Linked DNA regions of Saccharomyces cerevisiae S288C. Changing the gene in region 1 together with any one later gene gives a genetic interaction. Each region holds a gene or a part of one and is shown on either strand. Other genes may lie near its edges. The genes, in order: CIS3, YLR257W, YMR181C and PAN3.

Region 1 (4,570 bases):
TCCTTTTCTACTACTACTCTAGTCGCATCCATTCCTTTGCATTTATCTTTTCTGCGGTTGGCCAATCCATTCTTCCGAGAATTTGGCTAGCCATACTTGATGTTTTCCCATTATTGGTTCGTTTGGCAATGCTAATTTTCTTAATTGCCCCTTATATACTCTTCCATAAAATGTTTTTTTTATAACTAATTTTCTGTATATCATTATCTAATAATCTTATAAAATGTTAAAAAGACTTGGAAAGCAACGAGTGATCGTGACCACATAATTGCCTCGCTACACGGCAAAAATAAGCCAGTCCTAATGTGTATATTAAAGGCTGCATGTGGCTACGTCTATTAAAAAAAAAATATTTATCTAAATAAAAGAAACCTTCTTTTAGAGAACCTTAAAAATGTAATATACAAATCATTCATACCAAAATCTTTTTACAAATCATAATCTTTTTCTATTTCTTTTCCCTTATAAAAGGTAGAACATTAGTACTTTGATGTAGCTATTTAACAGTCGACCAAAGAAACAGCTTCCAAATGAATGGCACTACATTGTTCGGCGACGTTTTGATCATACAAGTTGTAGAAATTGCCGGATAGACATTGGTAGAAAACGTCACTGTCACCCAAAGCCAAGTAACCATCTTCAGTAATGGACCAACCGGCAGCGTAGATGGCGCCGGCTTGTGGTGGTGGACCGTCAAATTGGAATTGTCTGTTAGCAACAATAGAACCAATTCTACCCTTGGCATCAGTCAAAACACCGTCCTTCAAGGTCAATTCTAAGGTACCAGAATTCTTACATGAGCTATCTTTCAAAGATGGAGTGGCACAAGAAGATGATGTGGCATTAGTAGATGTTTTAGATGCAGAGGAAGAGATCTTTTCGGAGCTGGTTGGGGTAGCGGTAGTAGTAGCTTGGGCTTGACTATCGGTGGCTTGAGCAGTAGCAGCAGAAGTGGCTTGGACTTGACCGTCACCAATTTGAGAGATAACGTCTCTCTTAGCTTTTGAAGAGGTAATAGCTTGAACAGCAATACCAAAGGTGGTAGTGTATTCGGCAGCACCACAAGAGATGGAGCCGGTTGGGGTTAAGGTGGACCATGGTTCACCTGGAGTGTAACCTTCAGCAGAAGCAGTGGCGGATAGAGCAGCAACGGAGGCAGCTAGGGCGACGTTTTTGAATTGCATTTTAGATGTAAGTTTAGCGAGTGAAATAGTTTTATGTGTCTTGATTTACAATTACTACTGCCAAAAAGAGAAGGTTAAGATAGACCCACCACAAGATAGATTGGCTCTCTTTCCCGAATACTTATATACTGACTGTTTGGAGATGAAACCTTCGAGAATTTTTCACCCACTGTCAACCTATTTCTTATTTTTGTTTTTGTTTGTGGACGTTTAGCTTAAATCGGCGCGAATTTTTTTGGCGCAGTACACGCTGACCCGTTTCTTTTGGGCGACCGTGTCTCGACCGTAGCAAAAGGGGAAAAAGAAAAGCTGGAAGGGCTAGGCGGGATCTGGCCCGTGGAAATCGTATGGAATGCATAGGCGGCCCGGCCAGGCACCACGGAAAAAAGCTGATTGTCCTCTTTTACGAGCCGTGGATTTGCAGGAAGAAGCAACGCACGCATGGAAAACACGTGACCTGAAAGTCACCGGAACAAATTAGCCACATCGACGTTTCTTTTACTATACAGCTCGAACAAGCTAACTTGAAATGCTACAACCATGTTGGTATAATTGTGTACAGACACGTGCATTTTTGGTACGAAGAGGGTTACCCGGCTGCGAGTTTTTTTCATTATGAACTAATTCAGGGAAATAATCCCGTTCGGGAAATAGATAAACAACGCCAAACGAAAAAAAATATATAGTGCATATATGACGAGATTTAATTATCGCCAATAGGTTCTTTCTTAGGCAAAATTAAAGTTTACTCAATTTCTATTTATACATTAACTGCTATTTACGACGCATTATATATATTCAGTCATTGCGTAGTATAGACGTGGAGAAACGAAAAAAAAAAAAGGAAAAGCAAAAGCCTCGAAATACGGGCCTCGATTCCCGAACTACTAGAGGTTGGGAACTTCCAGGGTCTGATGAATTCTTTGCTGCTTTACCAGGTCAAAATATTCTATTTCTATCAAACTAGAATGCGGGTGTTCATCCATAATTAGACGCGTTTTTTGTTCACCCGCAGCCATATCCCCCAAATATACTTGCTCGAATGTAGCTTGTGGTAGACGAAGAGTTACATCTAGATAACGCTTAGTGTGCAGCTCCTCTAAAAACTGCTTAATGCTAGCGTTCAATGGAGTCATGCGGCGTTGCGAAATTTCGTATCTCCAATGGTAAGATAACTGGTCAAAGGCCTTTTTTAATTTCTGATCATGCTCAATGTCAACAACGTCACTCCCGTTGAGGACCAAGATTTGCTTGGCGTATCCAGTTGCAATATGGTCATCTGTATCCACGTATGCACTTGTTGACGCTAATCTTTCACAAGTTTGTAATGTTACCTTATACTGTTGCTTTTCATCGCGGAAGACGTTTGGATTAACCACTTCTAAATTATCCAAGAAAGTTGTCCATCCGTCCCAATTTTTATTTATCATTCCGATGAAGGTGCCAAATGGGCCTACTACACCGGATCCATCTCTTCCAACAACAACTATTCCCAGTAAATCGTCTGTGTTTAATCCATCCAATATTTGATGAACACTCTTTAGAACTCTCTTGCGATACAGTTCCCCATCAGCATGCGACAAATTCAAACATACAATAAGTTTTAGCGGCGTATCACTGTGCAATCTTTTCCACGGTAGACGAGAATCATGGGATTGTGCTGATATAACATCAGGCGGCGCTCCTAAAGCGCCTATTATATTCACATGAGAGAGTTCCTTCACTGTAGAAACAATCTCACTTAATGGTAGTGTCTCCAGTGAAGAATTTTCTAGACAATACTTCCATTTGGGAAGCAACCACTTTTCGCAGTTTTCGTTGAACCTCAAGTATATTTCAGGTATATTAGTGCTCTTCAAACTACAAAGTAGTACGTCCTCATTGAACTTGATTACCTGGTAAAACTGGTCTCTAGGAATCTTACCCAGGATCTTCATTTCTTCAAAATCAAACAAAACTAGAAATTTGGAGAATAATATTACAAGGTTATTGTCTACCCATTGTTCGCCATCATCAGAATACATTAGTTTGTCAAACAAGATCAAACTGCCAAATTCGCTATCCTTATCCACATTTGTTTCGATATATTGATCAATTTTCTTTTTCCATTCCTTTTCCCTTTCCTCTAGTTCTTCGTGGTCCACATGATTCACATCTTGCAAGACCCCTAAATCATCACTGGTCCGCATTTCTTGAAACTTCACACTGACCATAACATGTTCACCACCCGTTTTACTAAACCACACTTCAGCAGCACTTTCGTCTATTTCATCATCACAGTCCAGTTTTTCATCATCACTTAAATCAAAAGGGTCTGTAGTTGCCATTTTATTAACGAATGGTGAATTTAAAAATGGGCTATCAAGATAGCTAACGGCCTCAAATTGATTGCTATTCGATAAGCGTGGTGTCCTGAACCCATCACATGAAATATCAGCAGTACGAATGAGCTGCTCCTGTGGTGTAAACTGAGGAAATTCACCTGTGAAGCTTCTCGCCGTTTTCAAATCAATCCATTGCTGTTGCATATTGGATGACGGACCATCATCATGAGCGCCTGCGCCCGTTAGAAGTTTGGATACCATTTCAGGAACAATGTCTTTATCCTTTGGCTTGCTCACTTCGCCACATATCTTACACTCAGGAAACTTGCCTTGGAAATAAAGAGTTTCAAATAGCATCAAATAACAGTTATAGTGGCTAGTGTGTGAACACGTAGACTCCACAACCTTTTCACCGGTAAATGTGGAACTAATACTTTCCTCACAGATTAAACATTTCTCACCTATGTACCTTTTTGGACTGAATTGTGAATTGCATTTTTTTATGTTTCTTTCCAGGCTGATCATGAAAGTTGGTGAATCTTCTTCGTAATATGAATCGCCGTCAATGCGATAATCTTCATCCATAACCGTTAAATTGATGTCTGACAAAGTATCACACATAGTTGTAGAATCAGAAATCGACTCTCGGAGTAAACTAGTAGTTAAATTTGTAGCTTTGATGTTGTATTTGTTGCTACTTGTGATATTTACTGGCGATTGTAAAGCGCTAAGTTGTCCTGTTTTCGAAAAACCAGATGCTACTGATCCCGCTGTTTTCTTCAAACTTGGTGGGGGAGATATAGGCTTGGAAAGATTCAGTGGTTTAGGAATATTGCCTCTTTTGGACATCATTAGGCCAAGATTTGGAGTAAATTGACTCTCTTCAATATACCCAAATGTGGGCATCTGTTGCTTCTTAAATTCTGGTGTCTTTCTAAAAACTTTACCCGATAAACCTCTTAGAAATTTCTTCGGTGGTGATCTTTCAGCGTCACGATCTCCACTTGGTGGAGTGTGTATTTTTTTTTCAAACGAAACTCTTGTTGGTGTCTTCATTAATAG
Region 2 (8,356 bases), on another chromosome or scaffold:
CGAATATAAATTTTTACGCTACACACGTCATCGACATCTAAATATGACAGTCGCTGAACTGTTCTTAGATATCCATGCTATTTATGAAGAACAACAGGGATCGAGAAACAGCAAACCTAATTACAGGAGAAATCTGAGTGATGAGAAGAATGATTCTCGCAGCTATACGAATACAACCAAACCCAAAGTTATAGCTCGGAATCCTCAAAAAACAAATAATTCGAAATCGAAAACAGCCAGGGCTCACAATGTATCCACATCTAATAACTCTCCCAGCACGGACAACGATTCCATCAGTAAATCAACTACTGAACCGATTCAATTGAACAATAAGCACGACCTTCACCTTAGGCCAGGAACTTACTGAATCTACGGTAAATCACACTAATCATTCTGATGATGAACTCCCTGGACACCTCCTTCTCGATTCAGGAGCATCACGAACCCTTATAAGATCTGCTCACCACATACACTCAGCATCATCTAATCCTGACATAAACGTAGTTGATGCTCAAAAAAGAAATATACCAATTAACGCTATTGGTGACCTACAATTTCACTTCCAGGACAACACCAAAACATCAATAAAGGTATTGCACACTCCTAACATAGCCTATGACTTACTCAGTTTGAATGAATTGGCTGCAGTAGATATCACAGCATGCTTTACCAAAAACGTCTTAGAACGGTCTGACGGCACTGTACTTGCACCTATCGTAAAATATGGAGACTTTTACTGGGTATCTAAAAAGTACTTGCTTCCATCAAATATCTCCGTACCCACCATCAATAATGTCCATACAAGTGAAAGTACACGCAAATATCCTTATCCTTTCATTCATCGAATGCTTGCGCATGCCAATGCACAGACAATTCGATACTCACTTAAAAATAACACCATCACGTATTTTAACGAATCAGATGTCGACTGGTCTAGTGCTATTGACTATCAATGTCCTGATTGTTTAATCGGCAAAAGCACCAAACACAGACATATCAAAGGTTCACGACTAAAATACCAAAATTCATACGAACCCTTTCAATACCTACATACTGACATATTTGGTCCAGTTCACAACCTACCAAATAGTGCACCATCCTATTTCATCTCATTTACTGATGAGACAACAAAATTCCGTTGGGTTTATCCATTACACGACCGTCGCGAGGACTCTATCCTCGATGTTTTTACTACGATACTAGCTTTTATTAAAAACCAGTTTCAGGCCAGTGTCTTAGTTATACAAATGGACCGTGGTTCTGAGTATACTAACAGAACTCTCCATAAATTCCTTGAAAAAAAAATGGTATAACTCCATGCTATACAACCACAGCGGATTCCCGAGCACATGGAGTCGCTGAACGGCTAAACCGTACCTTATTAGATGACTGCCGTACTCAACTGCAATGTAGTGGTTTACCGAACCATTTATGGTTCTCTGCAATCGAATTTTCTACTATTGTGAGAAATTCACTAGCTTCACCTAAAAGCAAAAAATCTGCAAGACAACATGCTGGCTTGGCAGGACTTGATATCAGTACTTTGTTACCTTTCGGTCAACCTGTTATCGTCAATGATCACAACCCTAACTCCAAAATACATCCTCGTGGCATCCCAGGCTACGCTCTACATCCGTCTCGAAACTCTTATGGATATATCATCTATCTTCCGTCCTTAAAGAAGACAGTAGATACAACTAACTATGTTATTCTTCAGGGCAAGGAATCCAGATTAGATCAATTCAATTACGACGCACTCACTTTCGATGAAGACTTAAACCGTTTAACTGCTTCATATCATTCGTTCATTGCGTCAAATGAGATCCAAGAATCCAATGATCTTAACATAGAATCTGACCATGACTTCCAATCCGACATTGAACTACATCCTGAGCAACCGAGAAATGTCCTTTCAAAAGCTGTGAGTCCAACCGATTCCACACCTCCGTCAACTCATACTGAAGATTCGAAACGTGTTTCTAAAACCAATATTCGCGCACCCAGAGAAGTTGACCCCAACATATCTGAATCTAATATTCTTCCATCAAAGAAGAGATCTAGCACCCCCCAAATTTCCAATATCGAGAGTACCGGTTCGGGTGGTATGCATAAATTAAATGTTCCTTTACTTGCTCCCATGTCCCAATCTAACACACATGAGTCGTCGCACGCCAGTAAATCTAAAGATTTCAGACACTCAGACTCGTACAGTGAAAATGAGACTAATCATACAAACGTACCAATATCCAGTACGGGTGGTACCAACAACAAAACTGTTCCGCAGATAAGTGACCAAGAGACTGAGAAAAGGATTATACACCGTTCACCTTCAATCGATGCTTCTCCACCGGAAAATAATTCATCGCACAATATTGTTCCTATCAAAACGCCAACTACTGTTTCTGAACAGAATACCGAGGAATCTATCATCGCTGATCTCCCACTCCCTGATCTACCTCCAGAATCTCCTACCGAATTCCCTGACCCATTTAAAGAACTCCCACCGATAAATTCTCGTCAAACTAATTCCAGTTTGGGTGGTATTGGTGACTCTAATGCCTATACTACTATCAACAGTAAGAAAAGATCATTAGAAGATAATGAAACTGAAATTAAGGTATCACGAGACACATGGAATACTAAGAATATGCGTAGTTTAGAACCTCCGAGATCGAAGAAACGAATTCACCTGATTGCAGCTGTAAAAGCAGTAAAATCAATCAAACCAATACGGACAACCTTACGATACGATGAGGCAATCACCTATAATAAAGATATTAAAGAAAAAGAAAAATATATCGAGGCATACCACAAAGAAGTCAATCAACTGTTGAAGATGAAAACTTGGGACACTGACGAATATTATGACAGAAAAGAAATAGACCCTAAAAGAGTAATAAACTCAATGTTTATCTTCAACAAGAAACGTGACGGTACTCATAAAGCTAGATTTGTTGCAAGAGGTGATATTCAGCATCCTGACACTTACGACTCAGGCATGCAATCCAATACCGTACATCACTATGCATTAATGACATCCCTGTCACTTGCATTAGACAATAACTACTATATTACACAATTAGACATATCTTCGGCATATTTGTATGCAGACATCAAAGAAGAATTATACATAAGACCTCCACCACATTTAGGAATGAATGATAAGTTGATACGTTTGAAGAAATCACTTTATGGATTGAAACAAAGTGGAGCGAACTGGTACGAAACTATCAAATCATACCTGATACAACAATGTGGTATGGAAGAAGTTCGTGGATGGTCATGCGTATTTAAAAACAGTCAAGTGACAATTTGTTTATTCGTAGATGATATGGTATTGTTTAGCAAAAATCTAAATTCAAACAAAAGAATTATAGAGAAGCTTAAGATGCAATACGACACCAAGATTATAAATCTAGGCGAAAGTGATGAGGAAATTCAATATGACATACTTGGCTTAGAAATCAAATATCAAAGAGGTAAATACATGAAATTAGGTATGGAAAACTCATTAACTGAGAAAATACCCAAATTAAACGTACCTTTGAATCCAAAAGGAAGAAAACTTAGCGCTCCAGGTCAACCAGGTCTTTATATAGACCAGGATGAACTAGAAATAGATGAAGATGAATACAAAGAGAAGGTACATGAAATGCAAAAGTTGATTGGTCTAGCTTCATATGTTGGATATAAATTTAGATTTGACTTACTATACTACATCAACACACTTGCTCAACATATACTATTCCCCTCTAGGCAAGTTTTAGACATGACATATGAGTTAATACAATTCATGTGGGACACTAGAGATAAACAATTAATATGGCACAAAAACAAACCTACCAAGCCAGATAATAAACTAGTCGCAATAAGCGATGCTTCATATGGTAACCAACCATATTACAAGTCACAAATTGGTAACATTTTCCTACTCAACGGAAAAGTGATTGGAGGAAAGTCGACAAAGGCTTCGTTAACATGCACTTCAACTACAGAAGCAGAAATACACGCAGTCAGTGAAGCTATACCGCTATTGAATAACCTCAGTCACCTTGTGCAAGAACTTAACAAGAAACCAATTATTAAAGGCTTACTTACTGATAGTAGATCAACGATCAGTATAATTAAGTCTACAAATGAAGAGAAATTTAGAAACAGATTTTTTGGCACAAAGGCAATGAGACTTAGAGATGAAGTATCAGGTAATAATTTATACGTATACTACATCGAGACCAAGAAGAACATTGCTGATGTGATGACAAAACCTCTTCCGATAAAAACATTTAAACTATTAACAAACAAATGGATTCATTAGATCTATTACATTATGGGTGGTATGTTGGAATAAAAATCAACTATCATCTACTAACTAGTATTTACGTTACTAGTATATTATCATATACGGTGTTAGAAGATGACGCAAATGATGAGAAATAGTCATCTAAATTAGTGGAAGCTGAAACGCAAGGATTGATAATGTAATAGGATCAATGAATATTAACATATAAAACGATGATAATAATATTTATAGAATTGTGTAGAATTGCAGATTCCCTTTTATGGATTCCTAAATCCTCGAGGAGAACTTCTAGTATATTCTGTATACCTAATATTATAGCCTTTATCAACAATGGAATCCCAACAATTATCTAATTACCCACAAATTTCTCAGATGGACTAGTAGATTTTTATAGAGCAGATTTTCCAATATGGGAGTGATGCGGTTTGTTTATGTATAAATAGAAAGGGACATATTTTTATTATTATTATTTTAGTTATTTAGCATGTATGTTATTTTATCGGTGAATTGTAATGATCGAATAATAATTGGAGGTTGAAGAAGTTGCAAAAAATATTTACTTGGACGAGTCCGGAATCGAACCGGAGACCTCTCCCATGCTAAGGGAGCGCGCTACCGACTACGCCACACGCCCAATTTTCTTGTTGTCTGTTGTGTTTCAGAATGGGGTACGTCAGTATGATAATAATCATCCTAAACGTTCTTAAATTACATATGAAACAACCTTATAGCAAAACGAACAGAATGAGCAACATGAGATGAAACTCCGCCTCCTTAACTGAACTTTCCAAACGTATAAACGCCTGAAAAATTAGTTTAGATCCGAGATTCCGCGCTTCCACCATCAAGTATGATCCATATTTTATATAATATATAAGATAAGTAACATTCCGTAAGCTGATAATCCCTTTTGGCAACTCGTTACTTCCCAAAGACTGTTTATATTAGGATTGTCAAGGGACCCCGGTATTGCTCGAGCCCGTAATACAACAGTTGTCTTTCACTGCTCTCTATGTTTTGAGACCTCCAGTTCACCACATATATTCGATCTTTTTCTTACTGTTGAAGCAAGAATCTGTTGGAATGAAGGCCTAGTATTGTCTATTGACTAATATTCATCTTACTAGTATATTATCATATACAGTGTAAGAAGATGGCATAAAGATTGAGAACCAGTCATCAGACTAATGAAAGCTGAAATGCAAGGACTGATAATGTAATGGGATAATGAAATATATAAAACGGAAGGAGAAATAACCGTGATATTATTATGTAGATTTACCGACTCCACTTGGAGGATTTCTCTATTCTCGAGGGAAACTTGGTATATTCGTACACCTAATATTATAGCTCTTGATAACAATGAAATTTCAACAATTATTCACTCAACCCTCAAGTGTATATCGCCAAGATCCTAATCACCCCTCTCTGGTGGCCTTCCCTCATTGTTTTTACACAGAACAAGAATCCATAAAATCAAGATATTGGGAACAATTCATTGTCTTAGGAACAAGTTTTTATAATTTAGTTTCATTAGCCTATTGTAACTTCTTGTTTTTTTTTTTTATTTTGGCTGGCAAAACAAGAAGTATAAAGAAGTTACCACTGCTATAACGTATATCTTAAATCAAGTGGGCAATTCTTCGAATAAACTTAGAGGCGCTGAAGAAAGAACCGCTCAATTAGTTCGATCATACAAAATACAGATATTGCGCTGTGTATTATCATTACGGAAAGTGTGATATAAACAATGCTGTGTTGTATTCGGTCTTTTTTTTCCGCCTGGAGATTGTCGTTTTTGTTTTTTTTTCTCGTGTAGCTGCAGTTATCATCGTTTTGCATGTCTGTTCTGTCGGTGAAGCCGATCTCATGGCACTTCGCTTTGATACCGTAAAGAATCTTCTTCATTAATACGGCACTGCAAGGCGATATCTATCTCTGGGGTTAGGACTGATAAATAGGTACTTATCAGTTATCACTAGAGACGAACTGTTTACGTTTTGAAGCTCGACAGCAGGGGTTCTTAACGGGCGTCGGCCTAGACCTCACCTTGCGAGAAATTTTTAGTTCATATCCAGGGGATGGTGAATGGTTGGATCTGACGAAGCCACGGTAAGGGCAAGGCTTTGCGCATGCACTGGCCACTATGCATACCATATATAAATAGATAATCAAGCGTATAGAAAACGACATGCTAAGTTATTTTACTCAGTGTTAGGTCTCTTAGTATTTGCGTCTGAAAAGATCTTAGCTCTGTCTTTGACTCTATCACTTATTTTTAAGAGGTTCTCTATTCGTCAGTGATAGAAATAGCATTTTGACCCGCACGACATTGGTTAATAAGAGTACTTTTCCACGTGTTTCGATTGCCTTTATTTTTAGCATACTTGAAAATAATATTATCGTGAGATTTAGGTAAAATATACCACATATCAAGAGAAAGAGAAGTAAGAATGGTTGACGCTAGGGGTAGTACGCCATGTTTAATTGGTGATTCTATAAGAAACGTTAATGATGGAAATAGTCTGGATTTCCAGTATACTAATCAGTTTAATGAGGAAAGTGAGGCTTCGAGGTTACTAACGCCACAAACGAGTTCCAATCACGCCCTAAGCAAGATGCAGAAGGATGATGATATTCGAGATAGATCTTATACATCTGTAGCGGAATTGAATCGTGAGGGTGCTTTGCTGACCGACGAAGTTGATTTGGAGAATGTTGATGCTTCGAAAGTTCGCAGCAATAGAGACGACCTAGAGGCAGAGGAGAAAAGGAAAAAACTACTCTTGTTGAAAAAAAAGCAAAGAAATAAATCCATCAACTCGGAAAGTTTTTCCTCTCCTTCTCTGCGTGCTTCCAAATCTAATTCACTGATTACATCAACTGATCCTGTCGAAGATCACATCAGTAAGTACTCTTCATCAGGCACCCCTGAAAATATTACAGGTGAGGCAGACGACGAAGACGAAGACATAATCAGAAACTCTTACGGGCAAATGATCAAAAACAATTCCAACAGGCCACATTTGGCGAAGGGTGAATCGTACCAGTCCGCAGAACAGGAAATAGATCATACGGCGCCTGAAAAATCAGAGAAAAGACAAGAAAGAAGCGGTAGATCCTTTGATAGACAAAAATCTTCGGCTGAGTTTCTAAGATCCTTATCGAGGTCAATAAGTCGTGGACCCACAAAGAACAAAACGGTTTCGCCCTCTAAGGGAGAAGACTCTAGAATGTATAGTACCAGCAACTACTCTATATCATTAGTTGATTTGGAGAACGGACCCAAAATTATCCCGGAAACTTTAGAAGAAGAGCAGGAGGACGCCGAAAAGGAGGGTGTTTTGATGGAAGACGAGGGTAATGAAGAATACACCAAAGATTTGGAAGAAGCAGCTAACAAAGCTCAACCACAGTAGAATGGAATATTGAAACTGGAGTGACTTCTGATGAAGTTTCCAATTATTTATATGTATACATTATTTATTTGTCTATCATTAAAATTTCTGTCAAGTAATGGCTTTTTATGTTTATTTCATGGATTACGAAATTTGCTGGCTTTTTAGAGTGACCGATGAGTTGCATGTACATATGTGCGAAATAAAACAATACGGTAGTAAAACATGAATACTTCGAGAAGTAAATTCAAGATTGCAGGCGTAGCACAAGAATGTCCTTCCGCCTGCTAGTGTGTTGAGCAAAGCACGCCATCACTAATGGAACCCTTACAAAATCTCGCATGGAGCAGCAAACCTTAAATCCATTTTCTATCATTCGTTCCTGAGGACCCGGATATCGTTTTAGAGACAAAAATAGATACTACAAGAGGAATAGGGATATCTGCACATGGGGCCTCGAGCATGGCTCATTTTCGATTTTCCGGCACGATGCTGACTTAGTACTATCATGCCAGGCAGGACAGGCCTTATGGGGTTCTTGCAGCTTACCAATTCTGACACTGGACTGCCCCTGGATTAGCGACCCCGCGACCCCGCGACCAGACTCCCTGAAAATGGTAATTGGTGATGATATATGTGACTGAGTTCAGCCTGGGCA
Region 3 (7,888 bases), on another chromosome or scaffold:
AATTCTTACAGTTAAGGTACAATAGTTGTCTCGAAGAGCAGTACATCAACGGCCTGACGACCTACAGTAGCACTTTCCTTTAAGTGTATATAAACTTTCCTTTTCGGTAAGGGATGCAGGAGAAAGGGCGAGTTTTGTTTATATGCGATCCTTTATGGTAACCTTTGCGGTTAATTCAGCATTATGGTTGCTGATGCACACTTAACGAGGGGAAGAAATATTATGTTACATGCATGAAACGCACTCGGTTTTCTCATGGTCTTTCTTTTTTCGGGATTTCTTTTAATAATATCTTTAAAGTATTACTGGTAGTCGGTCTTTCCCCACACAAAAAAAATTAAAAAAAAAAAAAAAAAAAAGAAACTTTCCGGCGCTCCTTCAGGAGTCTCGTAACTGATGCTTTTTCTCTTCCTAATATTAAGATAAAAAAAAAATTAAACACCGGTAGCAACTTCTCGAGCCATAGGGTCCTGCACACCCTGCCATGTTACCGCACGGACCATTAAGTTACGTGGATGCCGGACTCTCAAGCCATGAAAAGTTTATCTTTATTTAAGTAGAGTTTTTCCTTCTTCTCAAATTTCTGAGAATTTTTATCTTCGATCATTCCCTCTTTTTTTCTTTTTTTCTTTTTTTCTTTTTTTCTTTTTTTTTTCCCTTCTCTTACTTTCTTATTTTTTTTTTTCATTCCTCAGCGGATCCCTTCAATCGTTTATAACATTATTTTCCTTCTCTTTTCTTTCATTGTATCTTCTTGATTTCAACTATTGTTTGTGTGTATATGAACAGACGCCTCCTTCTCTTTCTTTCGTGTATTCTTGATTCAATTGCGACTTCATAGCACTATTCCTCCCCACTCACGTCTATAGTCCAGGACAATTAGCATGACACTGGTTAAACATGAGAGGAAAACAACCGAAAAGGAACAAAGACAACGCTTCTGTCAAGAGAAATTATAGATGCGTGGGATATCCTGATTGTAACATGAGTTTCAATAGGACCGAACATTTGGCTAGACATATCAGGAAACACACAGGGGAGAAACCATTCCAATGCAATATCTGCCTTAAATTCTTCAGTAGAATCGATAACTTAAGACAACATCAATCTTCTGTTCATTCGGACGTTGATTTGATGTCCTTACGTAGACTGCAGCAGTCCGCAAATAGCACTGCGAACGACCCTAACGCAACAAGAATGTTCCCGCAATTACGCCCATATGGAATTGTTGTCCAGCCCGCGCCTGTTCCATACAATCTGCCCATATCAACTCCTGCTAGCCCACAAGACACTATATCTCTTTACGCACCACCATACTTCCCTCATCCTATGCCATCTGCTCCCATACCATTGCCGCATCAGCCTCCTCCACTACCAATATACAGCTATATGCAACCACTCTTCCTGAACCACACTCCCATACAAAACCACAACATTGTAGAGCTCCCTCCAGATAGCAGTGACACTCCAGCATCGCCGTCTAAGGTGCAAAGTTTTGACCAGGCCAAGGACGCTTCACCAAACGCAAAAAAATAAGCTCTACCGCACCCACTCCTCCATTTCACAAGCCGCATCATTGCTGCTATTGTACCCTCTTGGCCATTCGCGTGCGCGTTGATTGCCGTTATTATGCAGATATTTTGATATCGCTTGCCGTTTGGCTCATCTCCGCGCCCTTAAAATATATCCGCTTCTGTTGGGAAATGCCGAGCATAAAAATGCCGAAAATATAAAAAGAACAAGAACAATACCCTTCGAGGGAAACGCTATTTTCCTGTCCACACAACCTTAATTAATTCGCACGTCTGTGCCACCAAGTAGCAACTGGTTCGTATTGCTTTATCTTTCTTGCTTGTTATTACATTGCTGTAAGATAACAAGCAGCGTTTTACTCTACGGATTGTTTATAAGGATTTTGTTCCTCGACCCCTTATATTTACTCACCTTCCCCCTACTCTAATTCTCCTGATTTCAGAACAAAAAAAAAATGACTCCACTTTTGCAGGCGGAAGCAAAAATGAACACAAGCCTCTACCTTACGGAAAGCATCCAACAACATGAATTCAACCTCACCAGCCCTCAGTCATTCTATTCTTCTCCCTCGGTACCCAATAGTAAAAATAACTCGGGCATTTTCAGCTATAACACTGCCAACAACAGTAGGGTGAGTTCTAGTGATGAATTCACTACCCAACAAGACGGCATGAACACCATAATGTACAAAAACAACATCAGTAAAACTTTCGAAGACGACATCTTTTATTGTCCAAGAAGTTTGCTCACCCCAGAAGAACAAGTGGTATACCAGGAAATTGACAAGTATTACATGGAACAAGCACTATTGACCCAGTTACAAATCTCCCAAACGTATTCCTCCACTCCTAAAGAGGAAAAGATAGTTAAGTTCAATCCCTACACTTCGAAGAGTTTCAGTCCAGCTTCTTCTGAATAACTAACGAGAACACGTTCACTACAGACATGGGGCTTCTTTTCCTTTTTTCATTTTCTTTCTCTTATTATTCTGGGTATTTCTTATTAATCGGTTGAACTATGTATTACGTCGAAATTTCTTTAATATTTCTTTGTATTCTTCACGACGAATTGTTCATTTCATTTTACTCCATTTTTTCAGTATTCCTGGGGCTACAGGTATATGTGGCAAAAAATTTTTTTTCTATTATTTGACGGGATCTCCTATATATTTTATACACTTTTACAGGAAAAAAACTTATTAGTTTTCAATATTTTCTTTATTTTTTTTTCCTTAAGACAACTTTGTTGACTACCAGCAAAATGGGAAAGAAAAAAAAAGCACTGAAAAGGAAAAATGAAAACACTATAGGAAGTTTAAGATATGTCTGACCAACCCGAGACTCCTTCCAATAGTAGAAATTCTCATGAAAATGTTGGCGCAAAGAAAGCTGACGCTAATGTTGCCTCGAAATTCAGAAGCTTGCATATCTCTGAAACCACTAAGCCATTAACATCAACTAGAGCTTTATACAAAACCACAAGAAACAATTCAAGAGGTGCGACAGAATTCCATAAACATGTTTGTAAGTTAGCATGGAAATATCTTGCTTGTATTGATAAATCGTCGATATCACACATTGAAATCGAAATGAAATTTGGTGTTATAACAGACAAAAGGACACATCGCAGGATGACACCACACAACAAGCCCTTTATTGTTCAAAACAGAAATGGCCGCTTAGTGTCTAACGTTCCTGAGCAAATGTTCTCGAGTTTCCAGGAGCTACTCCGCTCAAAATCGGAGAATCCAAGTAAATGTGCCCCAAGAGTAGTAAAACAGGTACAAAAGTATACGAAAGATTCTATATATAACTGCAACAATGCCTCGAAAGTTGGCAAATTAACTTCATGGCGTTGTTCGGAAGACCTTAGAAACAAAGAACTTAAACTTACTTACATCAAAAAGGTCCGGGTCAAGGATTTTCTCATTCGCTATCCTCAAAGTTCATTAGACGCTAAAATTAGCATCAGCCTTGAAGTGCCTGAATACGAAACTTCTGCCGCTTTCAGGAATGGCTTTATTTTACAAAGAACCAAAAGCCGTTCCACCTACACCTTTAATGATAAAATGCCTTTACACTTGGATTTGACAAAGGTTACTACCACGCGAAGGAACTCCCATCAATACACGTCCCATGAAGTGGAGGTAGAAATGGATCCTATATTCAAGGAGACAATTTCCGCTAATGATAGGGAGAAGTTTAATGAGTATATGTGCTCGTTTTTGAATGCCAGCGACCTTATACGTAAGGCTGCAGAACGCGATAACATGTTAACGACATGAAAATGCTAATTAAATACTTCTTTTTGTTCTCTATAAGGTGCTACATGTATGATCTGAGTATATATATATATATATATATATACATGCTGTGCTAGGAATAAGTTCATGTAATATTTTCAGTGTTTTATTGACTGAAATTCACCGATGGGACTTGTTACTACCTGACTTACTCTTATTCCTGAATGGATGAATGTTGAGAATAAATCGTTGGTCTTATCGCTTTCATTATCATCGCCGATATTGTGTCCTTGCTCTTCTTCAACTATGTCCTCAGATAATTCCATGGGTTGATGATAATTGAACATCCCACATGGTGAAGACGGTATTGCCTTTTGCTTTTTGAGGGCTTCCTCCTCTTCCTCTTCATCCAAAACTTCTTCATGAGATCTCTTACTTTGCTGAGTTTCCAGCATGCTAGTAAGCTTTTTCGAAGCTGTAACATTATTATCAGAAGCTGGCTGGTCAGCTGGAGTAGAGAAATTTATAAGCCCTGCCTGAGGTTTTGTATTGTCCGAATCTATTACAGATGCCTTTCTATCTTTTATATCATTATCACATGGGGTGGCATTATTACTATCTGTTATATTTAGTGTCGATCCTTCTTTAATGGATATACGCTGCATGTTTGTTGTCGAGCTTGAATGTGTAAGTTCAATTAAAGGTATAGACAACGAGTCTATTGGGGAGGTTTTGTCAACATCGCTAGGCAAAGATATTTTATTATTTTGCGCTGTTTCCAATTCACTGACATCTTCATTTTCGAGAGCAATGGTGTTACAGGTGTTTGGATCGTTGAGTGTTATAGAAGGCTTCAAATTTTGCTGATTGAGTTGTGATGCACTTGCAGAAGTTGGTGATTCAAAAAAATTGCAATTGAAATTGGAAAACCATCCCATCTCATCTTTAAATACTACATCCGAAAAGTCACTCATGGGGAACTCAGCGTTAAAATCCAAGTCACCTTCAAGCTTGTTCTCTTTACTAGTTATGCTTTGGGGTGGAATATTTTCTTTATCATTTTCACTAGTTAAAGATATCTTACGCCCCTTTTGTTTTTGCTGCAATTTCTGCCCTTCAATGCCTGGTTCCGATAGAATGTCACTTAAAATTGAATCGTCATGATCATTTAAATGTTCTATCACTGATGATCGCCTACATCCTGCTTGTGTAGACTTAGCCGAATTTTTGGAATTCGAATTCTTAACTTTGACAATCGTTTGCTTATCATTTGCTTTTTTTTCACCACTAGTCTTCGGCGGTTGCTTTGGATTTATGTTTATTGAAGCTGGTTTTTTTGCTATCGTTGCTATACCAGGTGACACTTTTTTCGTAGACTTTCTTTTGTTGAGCATAAAATCGAACCTCTTGCTTACCGAATCATCGATCTTGGTCCTCTGAATAGTATTATCGTTTTGCAAAGTATTTATTTCGTAAGCTATGTTTTGATGCTGGTTGTTTTGTTGATTGGCTTCTGTTTTTCTATCTGCTAAGTAGATTTTGTGCGCAATTGAATTTCTTGGGAAACCAGTATTCGCTATATTTGGTTTAAGATTCCAGATGGGTAAAGACTGAGTTCTGACAGCTTTTGGAGCAGGCATAGGATTCGTCTGTCTTCTTCCCACAGTCCCGCTATTAGTATTATTTATTGTTATCGTGGTCCTTGCATTCCTTGAATTTTTTATTTGGTTTGTCTTGAAAAGAGATTGCGATTTTGGGGTAAACGGAAGTGTTGCTGATGGTAAAGAAGACGGCATTTGAAGACACGATATCCGAGAATTTGTAGTATTGTTACCAGACGTCCTTAAATTGGTTATAACTTTTGTGAATCTTAGTTTAACCTCCAAAGTTTCTTCCGGAATTTGGTTGTTTACGACCCTTCCCTTTTTATTCGAGATGTTGCTATATGATCTTCGTAGTAAAGCGGAAACATTCGAGCATACCCTTCCAGTAACTATAAAAGATTCATCTTCATACTCTTCTTCAGTTACCTCATCTCTCTCTTCACTTTCTTCTTCACCAATATTGTTTTCTGTATACTGGTAGGGGCTATTCTTATGAAACTTTTTTCGAAGCCCGGAAAGAAGACCAAGGCTTACTAATGGCTCATCCACTTCACATATGTCACGATAATACAAGTTATAATCATATCCATCTTTTAAAGTGTCATGGTCTAACACTTCAGGTGAATTTAAGTATATTTCATGCAGTATAGTCTTCAAATGGATGGCGCCAATTCGCAACTCCGTTTGCTCATTCGAATCTGTCGGGAATGGACTAGGAATATTAGCAACTCTTACCTGTTTTGGAGCCCTTGAGCGGGCTAAATAACTACCATTGGATCCATTATCCAATGTGTAAAGGATCTTCAATGTCATTTGAGAGAGTTCAGACATTTTACCAGAGTCTTTTGTTCAAGTGAATACCAATTCCAATCCAGGTTTCAGTTGCACCTGGTCAAATTGACTTCAGTTATGTGTGTTGACTAGGTTCAGCTTAAGCGTTGCTTATAAAAGAAGAGATGTAGTAAAGCAACAAACTCACCACGGCTCAGTGCAATTCCCAAGAACCGAACTCTCCATTCAATGGGTCTTTCTCTTCACACACACCTTTTTTCTAACGCGACGCGTTTTTTTTACCTTTTTTATATCACGAAAAAAAACGCGACCGTAAATGAAGGTTTTTCCTTTCATGGAGCAGTTGTATCTATTGAATGAATTATATACCTTTTGCTGGTTTGGTCCTTTCGGATATGCATTTTTCAAATGTTTACTTTAGCGATTGAAGCTCTAACAGTAGCAATGTGATCTTTAATTTTTCAAGGTACCTTTCTACCACGAGCAGTGTACTTTTTTGTTGAGAAGAAAGCGCAACTACCGGCGATGACTGAGATGACTTTGCTCCCAAAAAAAAAATCTATATCTATACATAGTTCTAAATACTCGGGTATTCAGCTCTCCTGGTTCGAGAACTTGTTTTCAAGTTCAGAAGAAATTACTTCTCCCTCGAGGTTATTAACAACTCTATTGACAATACTCTTCAGATATGAATCGTCTTTCTTTTCACCCAAAATACTAACTGTATTGAATCCCATACCAAAATGTGGGTATGAGCCTATTTTAATGGCTTCTGAAACTTTTGTTGATTCATCCTGAATCAACTTTAGCTCTTTAGAAATTTGAGACTCAGTTAGGTGTGTTCTGACAAAATAACGAACATACTCACGTGGATCCTTGTCCAAATTATATATTTTTTTCAACGTGGGAGTGAACGCTTTCAGCATCCTTGCAAATAGTTGAGGGATACCGGGTAGTATATACATTTTGTGAGATATAGAACAAATAGGTACCCACAAGTCATCACACACATAATAATTTTTGACGTTTGTGCCTTTTGGCATGGTTGCCATTTGGTAATGCGCCTTTAGAGCATCTGCATCAAGCCTTGCTTCAGGGTCAGATTTATGCCTCATTCGTTCTTTGCATTCTTCATCTAGTTCACAAGGCAAATTAAAGCTTTTCGCCATACATTCGTAAGTGATGTCGTCATGAGTGGGGCCGATTCCACCTGTACTGATGATAAAATCATAATTTTTGACTAATCTTCTCACAGTATCTACGATCTGGGTTTCATCATCCCCTATAGTTGCAATTTCTTTTAATTGAATTCCATGATCAAAGCAATACTTCGCAAAAAAAGTGGAATTTGTATCAACTACTTTTCCATTCAGCACTTCATCACCAATTATGATACAAGCTGCAGTTACTTTCACCATTATACCCTTGACAGTATATACTTTGCCTCCTTCAGTAATTCTTTTATGTCATTATTATCACCAGTAATGACTGCTATTGTTATATCCCTCGCTCTTTCCTTTTTAGTCTCTCGGGCAGCCATAGTCGTTTTCCACGTATATTTTTAATAGAGAAGATCCTAAAACATTCAGTTAGAGTATTATAGTTAATGATTTATTTTATAAATAGTAAATGCAATTTGTATATAAAACGTACATAAATCAAATAGTAGGTATACGTGACAAATATAAGCGTATTGTCTTTCCTTTTTTTTTTTGGC
Region 4 (5,456 bases), on another chromosome or scaffold:
TAGAGAAAAATTAACGATGAGGCATGCGACGGAAATCAATATTGAAACTTCTCAAAGCTGAACCACTGAAAGGGTTCTTTAGGACAATTTTCATTCCCTTAATCAACAAAAAATGACTAAAACCTACATATTCTTCTTAGAAAAAATACATACGCAAAACAAGATAGAAGAGCAACTGTTGATACGATAGCAAGGGTGACAGAGACTATTCAATTATATGTCTTTTATTTTCATTCTTATCACCACTTTTCCGTTTTCAACTTCGTTGACCGCAAATTAAATCTGTTCTTCTGGTGGTTGATTCAGTAATTCTTCGATTATTGGACAAAGCTCTAGTGGCCTAGTCATGCATGAAAACCTTTTAACCACCTTCCCATTTCGGTCTACCACAAACTTTTCAAAATTCCATTTTATCATTTTTATTCCAGACTTCCCGCTTACTGAATTCTTTAAGAACTTGTAGACGGGATCTTGCTTTTGCCCGTTGCAACGGATCTTATGTAGAATAGGGAAGGTTACACCATATTTATCTTGACAGAACTTATTAATCTCTTTATCCTTCTCGAACTCTTGATTTCCGAATTGACCACAGGGAAAGGCCACAATCACTAGACCATGTGATTTGTATTTTTCGTACAAGTACTCTAATTCCTTGTATTGAGGTGTGAACGCACAATGAGATGCTACATTGACTATCAAAACCACTTTGTTACGCAGGGAGTTGAAGGGGAATGGATTTCCGTTTTCATCTATTGGTGAAAAAGAATAAAATTCTTGCATCGTTACTTATAAATATTGTGTTTCTCCGCTTATATTCCTTATACGGGTTCACAATCAGAGAACCTCGCCGTGCACAATATCACCTACATGACTAAAATATATTTGTACATTACTGTGTTATATAATCACTTAATATTGTTCACCATAAGCAATCTCTGTAGTAGAGGTGAGCCCCGGCTTTAAGTTCTCTTAGATGTGGCGAACAAGGGATGAATCGCTTACCCTATAGAATTAGGGAACAGAAGGGGAAAGCAAATACGGAAAATTTTCCACATGAAGACGGTAGTGGGGTATGTCAAGGGGATACTAATGTATAATTAATATATATGTGTGTATCTACATTATTTGGTGTTGTTTTATTGGGTGATGGATCGAAAGGTGGATTCTATCAAGTCCTTCAACTCCTTATAGGATATAATAATACAGTTTAACTCATCGGGCGTTACCAACATTAACTTTTCTTGAATACCAGCGTCTAATTTGTTCAAACATCTTAGGACATGAGTTAAATCCATTATTGGTTTCCCATTCGAATCCACTTGATGGAATACGTAGTCATAAAATAGTATAATGGGGAATTTAGTCCCAGATTCGGACCAATTTATGTCTATTCTTGATTCGATTCTACCAAAAATGCAATTTAGCTTGTTGACCAGCCTAAATAATCTGCCATTTTCTAGTTCTCTTGATAAGACAGACTCCATGTATTCTGTATAGGTTTGTGACGATTCCAGGACCATGAACATCTTATCATAAAAGTGACTAGTAAGATCATGAATGCTCTTTTTGGAATCGCCGTTGTCTGATATCAGATACTTGAGTACATCCTTGAACTTATCATCGATCTGTCTCATGTCATCAATTGATTGAGGGGTTATTTCCTCCAATCGATATTCTTTAGGGGCAGTGTTGTTATTAGAGTTTTCAATATTAATGGATAGGTTAAATAATAGCTCTCCTAAATATTTGTAGTCTAGCTGTTGTTGTCCCTCTATGGTACTTCCGCCGGAAGATACTACGGTATCAGTATCATCATTGAACAAAAGGTCCATAAAATTGCAGTGTGATAACTTGATTCTCCCTGGGTCCCCAGTAATCAAAACTTTTCTCCAGTTTAATGTATTGCCAATACTCAAGTTTTGTGAATGGATAGAGTTTATTACATTGGTGAGTTGAACTAAATATATCCATAAATAATTATTCGTTATTGGAAACTTAGGGAAATTAACAAAGTGGTAATCATACAAAGATAGCGAGTTTGGGTAGTAGTCAAAGACCAAACAAATAGACAGATCACCAAATTTAGTAGTTTGAAAAATGTCCCTAAACTTTATCAAATTTGTACAATTAATTTTTGACCATATCTGATATATTTTGGATATTTTGTTTGGATTCATTGACTTATCGATGTTAGGAAGCCTCTTCAAAACGTAGGCTTTACCGTCATAATTGGAAAAAACTTTGAAGAGCGTAGTTTTATTTAAAAAATCGTTATTATTGAAGTTCAATGGAACCAAATTAAAATAATCTTGTACAATACTTGGTATAACTTTACCTGAAGAGGGGAAAACCTGCAAAATCGATAAGTTTTTCTTGGTTAAATCTTCTCTAATATTGTTTGGAATGAAAAGCTGATCTGCAGACCTTTCATTAGGCTTTAATAATGATTTCAATGATGATGGCTGTTCAGGTGCATATAGGTGATACTGTAGAAGACTGTGAGGAGGCGGATAAATACGTGGGTACTTAAGATTACTACTCTCTATGGGTGGCGGTTGCATAGGAGGTGGCACATTATTAGCCATACTCATATTGTTACTATTATCATCAGTGGCGTTTATATTTATGCCACCAGAATTTGCAATGGAGGGAAATGGAAAAGAATGTGCATTTGCATTAGTGTGAATTGAGGAGGTTGAAGACGGAGTGAAAATGGGGGCATTGAAGGGGTCGTAATTGGAACTCGAAGCGGTAGTTGGTATTGATATGCTTATATTACTATTATTGTTATTGTTATTCACTAACGAGCTATTAACTATCGGATTAATCATCGGATTAACTGTAGAAGCAGTAGCAGAGGTAGCTGCCATGGCGATATTGCCAGTAGCATTTGTAGCAGCGGAGGTGGTATTCGTCACAGTGGTTAAGGAGTCACTACCGACTGTCATCGGAGTGAAACTTGCGGATACTTTAGCATTGAACTTAGGAACTGATGTCATGGTCGGAGTTGTAGCCTCACCCACATCTATTGGAGGAGGAACGTCATTTATGGTAGTAGCGGTAGTGTTATCGCTGTGTTTGAAAGGGCAACCTTCTTTCTCCTTTTTGCAGTAGCCATAAATAGTGATATTTCTGCACGGAATATCCTTCGCCCAATCAGGATTGATTTTGTCCATGGCGTAAGATACGTCTGACTAGTCTTTTAGGCTTACCTATCATCGAAACAGTGCTCCCGCCATTGTTATTATTGCTCTTTTAATTCATAAACCAAATAATTTAGCAGTTTATTTTAAGGTTACCCTGTAAAGGTCTGATATGTAGGGGAGGGCATATAATCATTTTAATATATATGTATATATTCTTACATATATATATAATATCGCCGTAACTTATAGCGTAAACTATATAAAATACGTCTTAGTCTATAAGCTATCACGGATAGCGTCTTGGACGTCTTTGTACACATCTTCGACGGATCTGTCGCAACGAACACGGACGACTTTCGATTTGGTTTCAAAGTACTCGATGACGGGCATACTAGTCTCCTTGAAAGTGTTAAATCTCTTCTTAATGGACTCAATGTTGTCATCGCTTCTACCACTGGTCTTGCCACGCTCCAATAGTCTCTCTAACATGATATCTTCAGGGCAGTCAAAGAACAGGATGAATTTGCTTTCAACGATGTCTCTTTCAAAGGAAATGGCTTGATCCATCTTCCTAGGAAATCCGTCAATTAAGAACTTATGCTTGTTCGCCTTGACGTTATCGGAAATAGCGTTGCGTAAAAGCGCCAAAGTAATCTCTTGAGGGACAATCTGGCCCTCTTTGATGCAGTTCTTGATCAATTCCCCATATTGGGAACCTGCTCTGCCCTGCTCAGCACGTAGAAGGTCTCCGGCTGACAAATGGACAAATGAATAGTCCTTAACTAGTTTTTCACACTGAGTACCCTTGCCTGCACCGGGTCCTCCTAGAACGAAGATCACGGAAACTTGGTCAGGCGAGAAAGCTGGCTGTGATGTAGTGGCAGCTGTCATTTGTCTTATTCAAGAAATTCAACTGGTTCGTTCTTTTGATAGTTTACCGAAATAACTGATGTCACGAGTGCTAAAGTTCCTACGAGTACCAACAATTTGCCTTTGTGTTTACCCTTGCTTTGACTTTTGTTAGCGCGTGGTACGTTTACGTTGGTCTTCGAAGGTGCTGTATTGTGGAAAGTTGGTTTTTTCGAAGAATAAAATCTCAGTATAAACCTGTAGCGTGGATTCATAATATAACTAAGCTAACATAAAAACGGGAGAGGGTGTGTGCGACTAAAGGCAAAGACAGGAATGCATCGCTTTAAAAGATCACCATAACTACTTAAAAGTTTCGTTAACGTGGTGAAAAAGAAAAGAAAAAGAAAAGTGAAAAAAATAAACCTAGGGTTGAAAATATAATCAGTTAGGTGTCATGATATTGATACATTTATTTCTATAGGTCTGAGAGTACTAACTTAGGGTATATGAGGGGTGTTAAGTTGGGATGATGACGCATTAATTAAGAGTTCATTATATGAGGATATTGTATACAATGCAAGAATAGCGCCCCAATCCCGGCCAGGTATAACGTGCAAGCATGAATAAAGAAGAATTATTGGGTTTTCTACTAGATGACAGTATTGATAGCCAAAAAAGATGCGTCACGGATCAGCAGGCCTACTCTAATTGGTTAAAGAATGATAATGATGAACGTACGGCCCATGAGGAAAGCTCTTCACAAAGTACGATAGCCGCATTGAATAAGAAGAAGCAGACAGAAGCTGCTCAAGAAGATATAGAAGAACTGTTAAACGGCTTAGAAGGCATTATTGGAGGAGCCGACCCCCGTAATCTCAAGAGTAAGTCAAAGAGGAAAACCAAAAAGGGCGGATCGAAACCAAGGGAAGAAAACGTGAATACGGAGAAACATATTGTAATGCTCGAGGTAGAAGATTTTAGTGATATGAGCACCCACGAAGATGTCAACGGAGCAAGTCCGTCGCCAAATCTGGACCGGTCGAAGAAGAATGAGAAGCGAAGGAAAAACGCCAAGGAGCTGTCATACGATGAACTAAAAGACAAACTAGAAGTTACCACTCGCAAATCACGTCTTGAGTGCAAAGACTTGAAAAAGAAAGTTCATGGGCTCGAAAGAAGGAACCTTGAACTTGAACAGCGTTTAGAAGAGCTGAAGATTGAGAACCAGACTTTGATAGAGATTAACAATAAACTGTTGAAAAACACTAATGAGGATGAGATTAACAAGAGCCAGAGGAACAAGGAGAAGGACCGAAAGCGGAGGGAAAGAAGAACGGCAAGGAGAAAAGATGAAAGAAAGCAGGAAAAAAAGCAGGAAAAAAAGCAGGATAATAAAACATCTCAATCTTTTCCTTCCTCAACTGACATGAATGGACAGCCTATAGAATTTTGAATGCA

The links.
Region 2: mutations in CIS3 (region 1) and YLR257W together harm fitness more than expected from each alone (negative genetic interaction), as found in Saccharomyces cerevisiae (one large-scale study listed by BioGRID).
Region 3: mutations in CIS3 (region 1) and YMR181C together harm fitness less than expected from each alone (positive genetic interaction), as found in Saccharomyces cerevisiae (one large-scale study listed by BioGRID).
Region 4: mutations in CIS3 (region 1) and PAN3 together harm fitness more than expected from each alone (negative genetic interaction), as found in Saccharomyces cerevisiae (one large-scale study listed by BioGRID).

What each region holds. Positions count from the first base shown.
Region 1 is NC_001142.9:121,765-126,334, forward strand, and holds CIS3 (Cis3p), read right to left. Parts: upstream 1,185-4,570; coding exon 501-1,184; downstream 1-500. Other genes in the region: cyclin-dependent protein serine/threonine kinase inhibiting protein FAR1, read right to left, coding at 2,072-4,564. UniProt on the Saccharomyces cerevisiae protein: Component of the outer cell wall layer. Required for stability of the cell wall and for optimal growth. Required for resistance against several antifungal and cell wall-perturbing agents.
Region 2 is NC_001144.5:652,073-660,428, forward strand, and holds YLR257W (uncharacterized protein), read left to right. Parts: upstream 1-6,753; coding exon 6,754-7,719; downstream 7,720-8,356. Other genes in the region: YLR256W-A (gag protein), read left to right, coding at 1-367.
Region 3 is NC_001145.3:618,180-626,067, reverse strand, and holds YMR181C (uncharacterized protein), read left to right. Parts: upstream 1-1,987; coding exon 1,988-2,452; downstream 2,453-7,888. Other genes in the region: MIN3 (Min3p), read right to left, coding at 171-257; RGM1 (Rgm1p), read left to right, coding at 901-1,536; CTL1 (polynucleotide 5'-phosphatase), read left to right, coding at 2,855-3,817; SPT21 (Spt21p), read right to left, coding at 3,934-6,210; FPY1 (flavin adenine dinucleotide pyrophosphatase), read right to left, coding at 6,765-7,589.
Region 4 is NC_001143.9:389,104-394,559, forward strand, and holds PAN3 (PAN-complex poly(A)-binding subunit PAN3), read right to left. Parts: upstream 3,177-5,456; coding exon 1,137-3,176; downstream 1-1,136. Other genes in the region: glutathione peroxidase GPX1, read right to left, coding at 277-780; URA6 (bifunctional uridylate/adenylate kinase), read right to left, coding at 3,423-4,037; MIN9 (Min9p), read right to left, coding at 4,043-4,270; SKA1 (Ska1p), read left to right, coding at 4,618-5,451.